Linked DNA regions of Oryctolagus cuniculus. The protein of the gene in region 2 interacts with the protein of the main gene of each other region in a pairwise test. Links are inferred from orthologs where the notes say so. Each region holds a gene or a part of one and is shown on either strand. Other genes may lie near its edges.

Evidence for each region.
Region 1: the proteins of DYNC1I2 (region 2) and DYNLT3 interact in binary tests that used the Homo sapiens proteins (3 or more experiments, as listed by UniProt). The two-hybrid records come from large-scale screens. The link is inferred for Oryctolagus cuniculus from reciprocal best matches to the Homo sapiens genes DYNC1I2 and DYNLT3.

The regions. Positions count from the first base shown.
Region 1 is NC_091453.1:23,860,542-23,867,043, forward strand, and holds part of DYNLT3 (dynein light chain Tctex-type 3), read right to left. Parts: intron 1,987-6,502; coding exon 1,863-1,986; intron 674-1,862; coding exon 596-673; intron 286-595; coding exon 209-285; 3' UTR 1-208. UniProt on the Homo sapiens protein: Acts as one of several non-catalytic accessory components of the cytoplasmic dynein 1 complex that are thought to be involved in linking dynein to cargos and to adapter proteins that regulate dynein function.
Region 2 is NC_091434.1:69,425,981-69,433,063, forward strand, and holds the start of DYNC1I2 (cytoplasmic dynein 1 intermediate chain 2), read right to left. Parts: upstream 4,580-7,083; 5' UTR 4,369-4,579; intron 4,328-4,368; exon of another isoform or gene 4,125-4,327; intron 1,382-4,124; 5' UTR 1,373-1,381; coding exon 1,265-1,372; intron 1-1,264. UniProt on the Homo sapiens protein: Acts as one of several non-catalytic accessory components of the cytoplasmic dynein 1 complex that are thought to be involved in linking dynein to cargos and to adapter proteins that regulate dynein function.

The DNA.
Region 1 (6,502 bases), on a different chromosome or scaffold from region 2:
CCTATCTAAATGATACTGTATAGAATACAATATAATCTGCCAACATACTATGAGATTGCTTGCTTATAATATTCAGTTTTTGTTGATAGCTGAAGCTTATTGCACACTTGTCACCTAGCATATTTGTAAGTAACTATTATGCATTTCAGAAAGGATACACTGACAAATTCTTAAGTTAATGGTTTTTTAACCCAACATTGTTAGTCAGTTACAGGACAATTGCAATGGCAAAAACGTTGACAATGCAGTTCATGGTTCGATTCTCCCATCTTACAGTACAGGTTCCTGAAAACACACAAAAAAAACTTTGAAATATCAGGAAAACATGCAAATCACCATGGAGTGTGTGTGCATAAAATATATATTTATATTCTATAGATATTGTATATATAGGCTTTAATATCTTATTTCCTTATACCTTTTAAGTCTTCACATTTCATACTGGTCAGAAGGCATACTTATTGTAAGTGCAAAGCAATTCTGTTGACAAAGTCTTTATAGAATTTAATCAGATATAAATAAGTATTTGATAAAAAGTGCCCTGTTCAATTAACTAGAAATTCAATTTTGTGTGAATCAGCCTTAAGTCTCTTACCATCAGAAGTAGTATCCCAAAAGCATGAACTGGCGGTATGAAAGCCATATGCACTCCTCTGGACCACTGCACAGGTCACTACAAATAAAGTCAAAGTGAGGACACTTACAAAAAAGGGAAAGTGAGCCAACAATGAACTGCTTGAGTTCACAGCTCTAAAAGTGGAAAAAACAATGGAAAACAAAGAATTCGGCAAGTAGATTGAAAAAATTAAAACTGTTGAGATGCACTGGTTCAAATTCTGATTACTACACTTCTGATCCAGCTCCCTGCTGATGTACCTGGGAAAGCAGAAGATGGCTCAAGTGCTTGGGTCCCTGCCACCCACATAGAAAACATGGATGGAATTCCACGCTCCTGTCTTTGACCTGTCCCAGCCCTGGCCATTGCAGCCACTTGGGGAGTGAACTAGTGGATGGAAGATCTCTTTGTTTCTCTCTCTTTTTTACTCTTTCAAATAAATAATAAACTTTCTTTTTTAAAAAAGATTTATTTATTTATTTGAAGATTAGAGTTACAGAGAGAGAGGTCTTCCATCCGATGGTTCACTCCCCAATTGGCTACAACGGCCCGAGCTACGCTGATCAGAATCTAGAAGCCAGGAGCCAGGAGCTTCTTGCAGGTCTCCCATGTGGGTGCAGGGGCCCAAGGACTTGGACCATCTTCTATTGCCTTCCCAGGCCATAGCAGAGAGCTGGATCAGAAGAGGAGCAGCCGGGACTAGAACTGGCACCCATATGGGATACTGGTGCTTCAGGCCAGGGCTTTAACCCACTGCGCCACAGTGCCGGCCCCATATAATACTTTCTTAAAAAAGAAAAGTCTCTTATTTTGATTATCTACCATCACAATCTTAAACCTACTGGATCTGGCTGGTTTGTACATCATTGCTATAACCATTGGTGATTGCCTTGCAGGAACATTCTGGGTCCAATTCTGTGCTTTGTGCTGTGGGCAAAATTCAAACACAGAAAACATTCCACTTGACAGTAGGTGTGGAATTTCACAGTCATACAAAGAGGCGTGGGGCTACTGAAAGGAAGACAATAAGAGCTGAAGGGGTCTCAATGGCAAGAGAAAACCATGCAAATGCTCAGGCTCATGCTACTTAGGAAAAGGAGATTAAACTAGTTTTGCATAATGAATGATGTATATCTTTTAGATATTATTTATATTATCTTTGGATGATTATGTCAAAAGTCATGTGTTTTCAAAACTCAAAGAGAATCACAAAGACAAAGATGAGTAGAGGAAAACTGATACTTACCAATGTATTTATAAGCTTTTCCCAACTTAACCAAGTGTGTTAAGGATTGTTCTACTATGCTTGCAGTCCACTGATTGATGTTGTTCTGATTATAGTCCTCACCTCCTAACACTCCATCTACACACTGAAAGGACAGAGGACAGCTAAATTAGGCCAAGAGAACAAATTTTACACAAACTCTTTTTTTTAAGATGTATTTATTTATTTGAAAGGCAGAGTTACACAGAGAGAGAAGGAGAGGTAGAGAGAGAGAGGTCTTCCATCCACTGGTTCACTCCTCAAATGGCCACGATGGCCAGAGCTGCGCTGATCCGAAGCCAGGATCCAGTAGCCTCTTCTGGGTCTTCCGACATGGGTGCAGGGACCTAAGGACTTAGGCCACCTCCCACTGTTTTCCCAGGACATAACAGAGAGCCGGATTGGAAGTGGAGCAGCCAGGACTTGAACCGGTGCCCACATGGGACACCGGCACTGCAGGCGGTGGCTTTACCCGCTACGCCACAGCACCAGCTGCAAACTCTTAGAAAAATTTATTCAAAGCATAAACCATACGTATTACCCAATAAGATATATTAGAAAATATGCACCCACTAATATTTGTTATGCACTGTTTCCAACTGCTTAAGAGTTTTTATGTGCTGGCAGAGTAGGTTAAACCGCTGCCTGCAATGCCAGCATTCTATATGTATGCTGGTCAGGTCCCAGCTGCTCCACTTCTGATGCAGTGCCCTGCTAATGTGCCTGGGAAAGCAGCAAAAGATATCCCACATGTATGGGTCCCCACCACCCATGCAGGAGACCTAGGTGGAGTTCCTGGCTCTGGTTTTGGCCCAGCCTACCTCTGGCCATTGCGGCCATTTGGGGAGTGAACCAGCAGATGGAAGACCTTTCTTTCTTTGTCTCTCCCTCCCTCTCTGTAACTCTTTAAAATAAATAAAATAAATCTTAAAAGAGTTTTAAGAGTTTTCAAAGCATTTCTATATGCATTATCTCATTCTGTGAGATACCATGGGTCATATCAAAGTAAAAATGCTATGGCCTCTGTTGTAAAGGACTTACTCTAGCAGAGACACAAACAAAAGAACTCTAATATCTGTCATAGAAGAAAGACTATTCCTGGGTGATAAAGTATGCCATAAAAGGATTTTGGGGTGGAAAGACTGCAAGACAGTGGTATTAATTGGTTAATGAGTGGCTTTGAAACAGCTGGGTTTTAAACTAGGCCTCAGATGCTAGAAACATAGAATGGGACTAATTTAAAAACACAATTCTCATGTGTAACAATTACAATCTCATTCATATTATGTAATTGCTTAGCTATAAAACAGCAAGCTCTCCTGCCACTGAAAGTGAATAAAGATGCTCTAGAAAGAAAAAGTCAAATAATCTTCCCTAGTGCTTACTTGCATCCACTTCTGACACCTGATTAAGATCACTGGCTTTAATGTTACAATCTTAGGTTTTAAAGCCAGCTCTATACCTACCAGTTGTGTGATCTATAGCCAGTAACTTACCCTCTTCACACTCCTATTTTCCTAATTCTTAAAGTGGGGATAATGGCATCATCTTATCAGGTTGTTGTGAGGATGAAATGAGGTGATGAAAGCCAAGCACTCAAACACAGTGACTGGTACAGAGCAAGCACATAATAAAGTTAACTATTATTGTTCTTATCATCATTTTTGCTGCTGTTATTTCATATCCAAGTGATAGGTCTTGGAAAATAAAGCATTCATTTTTTAGAATCTAGCTTAATAACACACATGCACACACATACAACTTTCATGTACTATAAAGTAAACTTTATGAAGATACTAATTAATACAGAAAAGCTGAATATTATCAAATCTTCCCTAATGATAATTGCAGAAAAAGAATAGTTCAGAGGAGTTGATAAAAGTAATGTGGCTCTCAAATTATTCTACAAAGTCCAACAACATGACAGAGTAGGAGGGCAGTGACCTAAAGGATCAGGGGAACCGGGTTTTAACTCTGGCGTTACCAATACCAAACTGATGACCAGTGGGCAAATCTCTGCCTCTCTTGTGATGGCTTTTCCTTAATGAGAAAATAACAGCACTCATTTTCCTTTCAGGTTACCTAATAGGGCCATTCCAATTTTGCTCTAAACAATACAAAACACCATGGGGATGAGAATCTCACCATGGATAGCCCTGCTAATTACTATTAATTAACATTTAAACTAATTAATTACCATTGATCTGGAGTCCTACTAAAAAATTAGGTCCTTAAACAGCTCTGTATTCCCAGGGCCAGACTTAGCACCTGAGCACATAGGGGGTATTCAAAAAAATGTTTGTGACTGAAACAATATTGGCTTCGATAACACAATTTGTACATCTTAAATAAAATACACTTTAAGTTTCAAGTTAATTTCATTGTAACTTTCTCTTTGAGATCTTTTGGGGAGAAAATTCTACTACTAACAATAAATAAAATAGATTCACACTGGGGCTAGTATTGTGGTGCAGCAGGTTAGGATGCCACTGCAATGCTGGCATTCCGTATTGGAACCTTGTTTCAACTCACAGAGGCTCCACTTTCAATCCCACTCCCTGATAAAGTGCCTGGGAAAGCAGTGGAAGATGGTCCAAATACTTGGACCCTGGCACCCACATGTGAGAAACCTAGATGGAGACCAAGGCAGCTGGTTTGGGGCTTTCTGGCCATTTGGGGAATCAACCAGTGAATGGAAGATGTGTGTTTGTGTGTGTATTTCTCCCTGTCACTCTTTCAAATCAATAAATCTTCAAAAAATACATGCATATTATTGATAAATGAGTGGCTTTAAGAGTTTAGCAGGAAAATATATTAGCATGGGTTTAAGGGCACGGAATCAAAGGAAAGAAAATAAGAACAACAAGAGATAAAGAAAACAAGTAATTGATGAAACTATCATCCAGGAAACGCTGAAATGTTTAAACTAGTGTTCACTCAAGTCTTTCAAGTGCCTCTATGGAAATGTTTAAACAGCACACAAGAGTTGGCTCACAGAAACAGGAGGAGGAGGAAACAAAACAGTTGTATATCTCAAAGTAACCTATAAAAAATGAGATCTCTTTGAAGTCACATATTTCATATAAAAATTCAAGTGACACATGTTTTTAACTTTACAGTATATCATTTATTTATATAAAATATATTTATTTATATAATAGACATAAATATATTTATTTGAAAGGCAGAGTGACAGAAAGAGACAGGGAGAGACAGATCTTCCATCTACTGGTTCACTCCCCAAATGCTTGCAACAGCTGGGGATGGGCCAGGATTAAGCTAGCAACAGGAACTCCATCTGGGTCTCGCACATGGGTGGCAGGGACCCAAGTAACTGGGCCATCATTCGTTGCCTTCCCTGGTGCACTAGCAGGTAGCTGGATCAGAAGCAGAATGGGCACGACTCGAATTGGCACTGTGATATGAGATGCTGGCATCAAAAGCTGAGGCTTAATCTGTGCACCACAATGCCCACCCCAGAGTTTGTTTTAATTGGAAAATGTTTTTGGTTAAATTACTTACATTGCTTAAGTAAGTCCCTCTCACAAATGTTTAAGTAAATTTGATGCTCTAAAACATATTCAAAAATTCTCAAAGGAAGACAAACAAATGGCCAACACATACATGAATCAAAATTACTATGAGATATCACCTCACTCCAGTTTGGCTACAATAAAAAAAAAAACAATTGTTGGAGAGGATGTGGGGAAAAGGGAACCCTTACACGTTGTTGGTGGGAATGTAAATTAGTACAGCCGGTGTGGAAAACAATAGAATTACCATGAGAGACAGTATTCTCACTCCTAGTTATATACCCAAGGGAAGTGAATTTTGTCTGTTGAAGAGACATGTGCAGTCCCATGTTTACTGCAGCACTATTCACAATAGTCAAGAAATGGAAACAACCTAAGTATTCACTCACTGATGAATGGGTAAAGAAATTGTGGTACATACACACAATGGAATACTACTTGGCCATAAAAGGGATAAAAATCCTGTCCATTGCCACAACACGGATGGAACTGAAGGTCACTGTGCCAAGTGAAATAATAAATAAATCAAGCACAGAAAGAGAAGTATCACATGATCTCACTAATTTGTGGAGTCTGTAAAATGGTGATCTTGCAGAAGTTAAGAGAATAATGGTGGTTACCAGAGGCTGGGGAGGAAAGGGGGAAAGAGGGAAGGTTGATTAACAGGTACTAAGTCCTGCCTAGACAAGAGTAAGAATTCTGTGGTAGGGTGACTATAGATGTTAATATACTAGATATTTCTTTATAACAAGGTAAAAGATAGTATTTTAGACTGTTTTATCATAAAGAAATATTAAAGGTTTGAGTAAATAGATATTTATTCTTTTTTTCATTTTCAATTATCTTTATATACAGAAGATCAATTCAGTATATATTAAGTAAAGATTTCATCAGTTTGCACCCACACAGAAACACAAAGTGTAAAATTCTGTTTCAGTACTAGTTATAGCATTACTTCACATTGGACAACACATTAAGGACAGATCCCACATGAGAAGTAAGTACACAGTGACTCCTGTTGTTGACTTAACAATTTGACACTCTTGTTTATGGCGTCAGTAATCTCCCTAGGCTCTAGGCATGAGTTGC
Region 2 (7,083 bases):
ACATTACCAATTCTGACAAATTACTAGCAGTTCAGACTAGCAAAATGTTCAGAAATAAAACTTCATAAGTCTAAACTATGCTAAAAGTATCATCTTATGAGCTAATAGATTTTTACATAAAATTATCTTTTTTAGAAAAGGATTATTTATGTATTTTATTTTAAAGGCAGAGCAACAGAGAGACACGGAAATACAAAAAAAGATATTCCATCCGCTGGTTCACTCCCCAAATGGCTGTAAGTCAGCAACAGCTCAGGCCAAAGCCAGGAGCCAAGAACTCTATCCTGGTCTCCCACATGGGTACAGGGGCTTCAGTACTTGGGCCAACTTCCATTGCCTTCTGAGGCACATTAGCAGGAGCTGGACTGGAAGTAGAGCAGCCAGACTCAAACTGCCACTCTGATATGCGATGCTAGCGTTGCAGGTAGTGGCTTAATCCACTGTGCCACAACACTAGTTCTGCAACACAGATTACAAGGGGTGGAGGAGGCCTTCAAAAAGCTTATGAATAAAGTGTATTGTGAAATAGTTATATATTGATTTCAAAAATTATTATACCAAAATAAACTTACCTTCTTTTTTTCTACAAATTTTTTGAAATACCCTCATATAACAAATACATTCTTAGATTAAATATGTAAATTGAAATTCTTAATCAAATCTTAGAAATGGAATCTATATGCAACATTTTCATTTAGTTAAAAATAATCACATTTTGGCCAGCGCCGCAGCTCACTAGGCTAATCCTCCGCCTTGCGGGGCTGGCACACCGGGTTCTAGTCCCGTTCGGGGCACCAGATTCTGTCCCGGTTGCCCCTCTTCCAGGCCAGCTCTCTGCTGTGGCCAGGGAGTGCAGTGGAGGATGGCCCAAGTGCTTGGGCCCTGCACCCCATGGGAGACCAGGAGAAGTACCTGGCTCCTGCCATCGGATCAGCGTGGTGCGCTGGCCACAGCGCGCTGGCCACGGCAGCCATTGGAGGGTGAACCAACGGCAAAGGAAGACCTTTCTATCTTGTCTCTCTCTCTCACTGTCCACTCTGCCTGTCAAAAAAAAAAAAAAAAAAAAAAAAAAAACAACACCACATTTTAATTTACCAGTTGTGTAATTTTCACATATTAGCCTGTTTCTTTAAAGTAGGAGCTGATTATAATACATCTACAGTCGTAAGTGCTAGATTTTTTCTATTTTGGAATTATTACATAAAAATATGTACTAGGAATAAACTCTACTTATATTGTTATTCTTTAAAAAAATTAAACATACTTCTTTCTTTTTCCTTTCTTCTTCTTTTCTCTTCTTCTCTTCTCTGATTTGTGCCAACCGCTGTTTCTTTCGTTCCAATTCAGCCTTTAGTTCACTTTTGTCCGACATGTTTGTGACCTTAACAAGCATACAATGAATTCCAATAATCAATACATTGGCAAAAGTAGCACACTTAAAAAAAAAATCAGTTCTTAGCAAAGATAACCATCCCGAGAGGCCCTGCAGTTCAATACTATATAAAGAGAGCATGTAATCTCCACTTTAAAAATATAAGCATAGGGGCTGACATTATGGTGTAACGGGTTAAGCTGCTGCTGCAATGCAGGCATACCATATGGGCACTGGTTCAAGTCATGGCTGCTACACTTTGGATCCAACTCCCTGCTAACGCGCCTGGGGAAACAGCAGAAGACAGGCCAAGTGCTTTGGTCCCCTGGTCAATGTGGGAGACCAAGATAATGTTCCACTGGCTCCTGGATTTGGCTTGGCCCAACCCTGGTCATTGTAGCCATTCTGGGAGTGAACCAAGAAAGCATGTAATAAGTTCTTTATTGTTTACATGCCCCCAATTAAAAAAGAATTTACTTATTTGAAAGGCACAGTTGCAGAGAGAGGGAGAGACAGTGAGATCTTCCATCTGTTGGTTCACTCCCCAGGCACAGCGGCTGGGGTTGGGCCAGTCTGAAGCCAGGAGCCTAGAACTCCACTGGGGTCTCCCATGTGGGTGCAGGGCCTCAAGAACTTGGGCCATCTTCTGCTGCTTTCCCAAGAGCATTAGCAGGGAGCTGGACCAGAAGTAGAGCAGCTGGGACTCAAATAGGCCCTCATACGGGAAACATTGCAGGCGGTAGCTTAACCCACTGCACCACAACAACATCCTCCCCACCACAAGTTTTTGAAAACTTTGTTACTTTAAAAAAAATTAAATTTATTTATTTTCATTTTATTTGAAAGGTGCAGGGAATGGGAGGGGGGGCATGGATCTTCCATTTATCAATTTATTCCTCAAATGCCCCCAACAGCCAGGGTTGGGCAAGGCTAAAGCCAGGAGTGGGAAACCATATCTAGTTCTGTCATGTGGGTGGCAAGAACCCAAATACTCAAACCATCACTTGGTGCCTCCCAGGATGTGCATTAGCAGGAAACAAATCCAGACATTCCTATACAAGATGCAGGTATCCCAAATGGGGTCCCAACCACTGTGCCAGATGCGCACTCCCACATGCCCAGATTTTCTATGACAATATATTCCTACTACAGCAATGAAGATAAAGGTAAAGACGGGCTCTTAAGATATGCGCTGGCATTAAGAACTCTCAAGTAATGTGACACAGATCCAAACTACTACCGAGTGTTGCACTCATTCCTAGAAACCTGCTAAAAACCATGAGGACAAAGAAAATTTCTGCAAATTTGCAAATTCTAGAAGGGCCATGGTAGCAGTAATATTAAAGACAGCATAGTGCAAAGGGCACCATCGTTATCAGTCCGATCAACTTCTTTGTTTCTCCACTCACACCTTACCTTACACCTGTTAGGACACTTTTTATACAATTACTTGTGAACACACTTGAAATGTTCCAGATTAGACTGTAATCTACTTGAAATCAAGGCCTGTGTTTTAGTCATTTTTGTCTCCACAGTCTACAGCACAGTGACCTTAACATTGCATTGATACTGGCTAAATGAATAATGAATAAGTTAGATAACATTACAAACAGAGGTTTAAAAACAACTACATGAACATTACTTTATCCTCAGTTTTAGGAAAAAGTAATGATTCGAGGGTTTTTAAAAATTGAAAAAGTATCATAGGGATAAAGCAAAAGGTAACTTATCATCTTCATATTTTGACTTAGAATGATCAACGTCTCTGCGTGTACAACTGAAGTATCAAATTATGCTTCAGACCAAGAAAACTGGGAAAACCAACTTCTGGAAAACTGTATGTAGGAGGAATCTCCAAAAAAGCTCAATTGTTACATCAAAATAAAGAGGGTTAGAGAGGGGGAAAAACCCTATCTTCCAATAAACACATAAAGGAAATTTCTCTTATAAAATAGTCCAGAGACACTGACATCACAAGTCGATAAGTTCCAAGCGTACAAAAACAGTGACAAGCTGCCTCCACCGACCCTTAAAGAGACTCACTCTATCCACCGGGACAAACGCCGCCCTTGCTACCCAGCTGCGCACGGTAGAAGAGAACTTCCACACCTAACTCTGCAGGTGCAGCTAGCTAACCGCGTTATTTTTGCTCAGTGTCAACCGTAAAATGGAGGTACTACCGCTAAGGGACATTAGAGTAAGCATATTTTTAGGCAAAGCCCAACAACACAGGTTGACCGGCTCTTACTGCAGCTGACCCGTCCGTCTCTCTCTCATCCTGAGGCCAGAGCCTCCATGACGACGGATCGGTTCCTTTTCTGAAAACTCCGGGGAAGAGAAGTCTGCAGAGTTCGGCGCTACAAGCCCCGCGTAGGGACCTTCCCAACACACACGAGGTGCGGGGAAACGCTAGCAATGACCTATATTTGTAAAACGGAGCAAGCAGAAAAGGAATCACTTTTTCCCCCACCCCGGGGTCACCGCCAAGAAGGCGCGGTCCAGGTCAGGGAATCCGGAGGAAGGGGCCGGCGGACGCTGGCCGAGCCTCTAGGCTCCACAGGCCGCCTCTTGAGGGTCAAGAAGGGAAGGGAGTGGACTCCTCTCCGCCGGCTGCCCTGAGTCACGGCACCCGGTTCCCCCCGCCTCCTCTCCCCAGAGCCGGAGGGCGCTGTCAGCAGGACCTGCCTGGCCGCCCTTCGAGTCCCGACGCGGGACAGGCAGGAGGGCCTTCGAGGCAGAGCAGCCAACCCACCTGTGAGGTGGCGGGACGGGGAAAGAGTCTTCCCGTCGGCAACTTCCCGGTAACGTCCCTCGCCTAAGCCCTCAACGACAATCGCCGCCGCCACCAGCTCAGCGGCTTCCCGAAGCACACAAAGAGGGATGGGCGGCGGCTGCTACGGCGAGAGCTTAGGGACACAAGGCTCCGCCAGACCAAGCTTGCGCTCAGGAACACAGGGTGGGGCCCTGCGACGCAGAGTAGCTCCCCCATGACTTACCCTGTTGCAAAGCAGATAAGACAGCGCAGCTCGCCCTGAGGCCCGAAGCCTTTTCGCTTTGCCAACCGCTGGAAAATCACGCCTAGTATCTTGGGGCTGAGTCCGTACGCTCCGCCTCGTGGTTCAAATTGACACCACCTGGGAGAACTACAAGACCCAGCACCGATGGAAACCTGCGTGCGGGGAGCAGTGCATTTTGGGAGTTGTGGTCGCTGGTAGTCGCAAGGTCTTCTGGGAGACGTAGTATTGCGAGCCTTTGGGGCGTCTACTTGGACGGCTTCTTCCTGGAATATGCCAGTGAGAGGGTATGTGCTCTTCATCTTTTGGCGTATTCCTGTCGTTGTCCGGGGCGCCTGACGTTCAGTGTGTTGGATCTTCAGATGTTTGACTCAACAGTGGCAGAATTTTAAGGAGGGTTATTTTCCAGTGGATAACACTGCACTTTAGGATATATGAAGAATATAGGTTTTTTTCCCCCAGTATTTACTTACTTATTTGAAAAGCAGAGTTACCGAGAGCGAAACACACACACACACACACACACACACACACACACAGAGAGAGAGAGAGAGAGAATATCTTCTACTGGTTCACTCCCCAAACGGCCACAACAGCCAATGCTGAGCCAGACTGAAGCCAGGAACCCGGAGCAGTTCTCCCACATGGGTGCAGGGCCTCAAGCACTTGGGCCATCTTCTACTGCCTTCCCGGGTACATTAGCAGGAAGTTGGATTGCAAGTGGAGCAACCAGAACTGGAACAGGTACCATATGGGATGCTGGCATCACAGATGGAGGCTTAATATGCTTTGCCAAAATGCCAGCCCCAAAAGTATGTAGTTTTAGAAAACAAAGCCTTACTGAGGATTCATATGACATCTTGGGCAGAATCTAAATAAAGATATGTTAATCATAATAAATAATTCTATTTTGTTGCAGTGTGGGAGCATTTTGGTTTTCTCTGAAAGAATTTTTGGTGAGAAAGCATTTGATACTGTTGAAATCTAAATAAAGCAAGAATAGTTTCCACAGTTGTTAGATATTTTTAATATACAAATAAAGCAAAAATTGTCAAAACATGAAGTTTCCAGAAATGTCTGGGTTGATATACATGTTTTGAAAATAAGAATTTAGGGGCCAGCGCTGTGGCATGGTGGGCTAAGCCTCCACCTGCCTGGCACTGGCATCCCATATGGGCCATGGTTTGGATCCCAGCTGCTCTTCTTCCGATCCAGCTCTCTGCTATGGCCTGGGAAAAGCAGTAGAAGATGGTCCAAGTCTTTGGGCCCCTGCACCCACGTGAAAGACCCAAAAGAAGCTCTGGGCTCCTGGCTTCGGATTGGTCCAGCTCTGGCCGTTGTGGCCATCTGGGAAGTGAACCAGCAGGCAGAAGACCTTTCTCTCTGTCTCTCCCTCTCTCTGTCTGTAACTCTACCTCTCAAATAAATAACTAAATCTTAAAAAAAAAATAATTTAAAACAATGGCAAGATTTAAAGCTAACACCAAAGCAGTATCTTTTCCATGTTCTAGAAAATTGATAGAAAACACATTGCCCAAGTTTAGGATTCACCTTTAGTGTTCAAATTCTAAGTCCTTGGGCTGTGGTCTTCTCTGTATCTTTGTCTGCCTATAAAAAAAACAAATGTAACAGAAATGAATTGAAAAAGAAAACCCTTTAGATTCTGAGACGTTCCCCCATAACCTAAAATTTCCAAGAGCTTTATTGCAATACTGTTTTCTTGCCTCTTTCCTAATATTTAGTTTCCATTTATTCATTTGAAAAAATGCTTACTGATTACAGCATTGTGCCAGGAATGGTGCTCTGTGTTACATAGTGAGCTAAAATGTACATGTCTCTTCTCAAGGGTAAAAGGGCACTTGGTTCAACTAAGTACTATGATGAAGGTAAACAAGGAAGTAATGGGAATACTCTGGAAATGAAAACTTTCTGTATGAGTTAATTCTACAGCTACATTTTGGTTTTTGTTGTTTTTTGAGAGGCAGAAAGGGAAGGAGGGAGGGAGGGAGGGAGGGAGAGAGGGGGAGGGGGGGGAGAGAGAGAGAGAGAGAGAGAGAGAGAGAGAAACACTCCTATCTACTGGATCATGATTTACTCCCCAACTGCATATGACAGCAGCCAGGGCTAGGCTAGGGCCAAAGCCAGGAGACAGGATCTTAACCCAGGTCCCAGGAACTCACCCACTTGAGCCAACACCTTCTACCCTAAAGAGTACACATTAGCAGGAAGCTAGAATTGGGAGCAGAGGCAGGACTCAAATGCAGATACTCTGATATGAGATCTGGACATTTTAATCACTTGGCCAAATGCCCTCCTCCAGAGTTAAGTTTTTAAATTTGCACTTATTTTTATTTGAAAGGCAGAGAGACAGACAGAGACATACAGGCAGAGATCTTCCCCATGCTCATTTACTCCCCAAATGCTTGCAGCAGTGGGGCTGGGCCAGGCTAAAGCCAGGAGCCTAAAACTCAGTCTGTGTCTCCCACAGGTATGGCAGGAACCCAAGTACTTAAGCCATCACTTGCTGCCTCCCAGGTGTGCATTAACAGGAAGCTGGAGTTGGATACTGAGCCAGGACTTAACTCCAGGAGCTGTGAGATGGGATGTAGGCATCCCAAGCAGTGGAATATTGACTGTTTCCCTCCACACAAATGCCCACCCCTGGAGCTAAGTTTTTGATTCTGAAAGGTTGAGTGG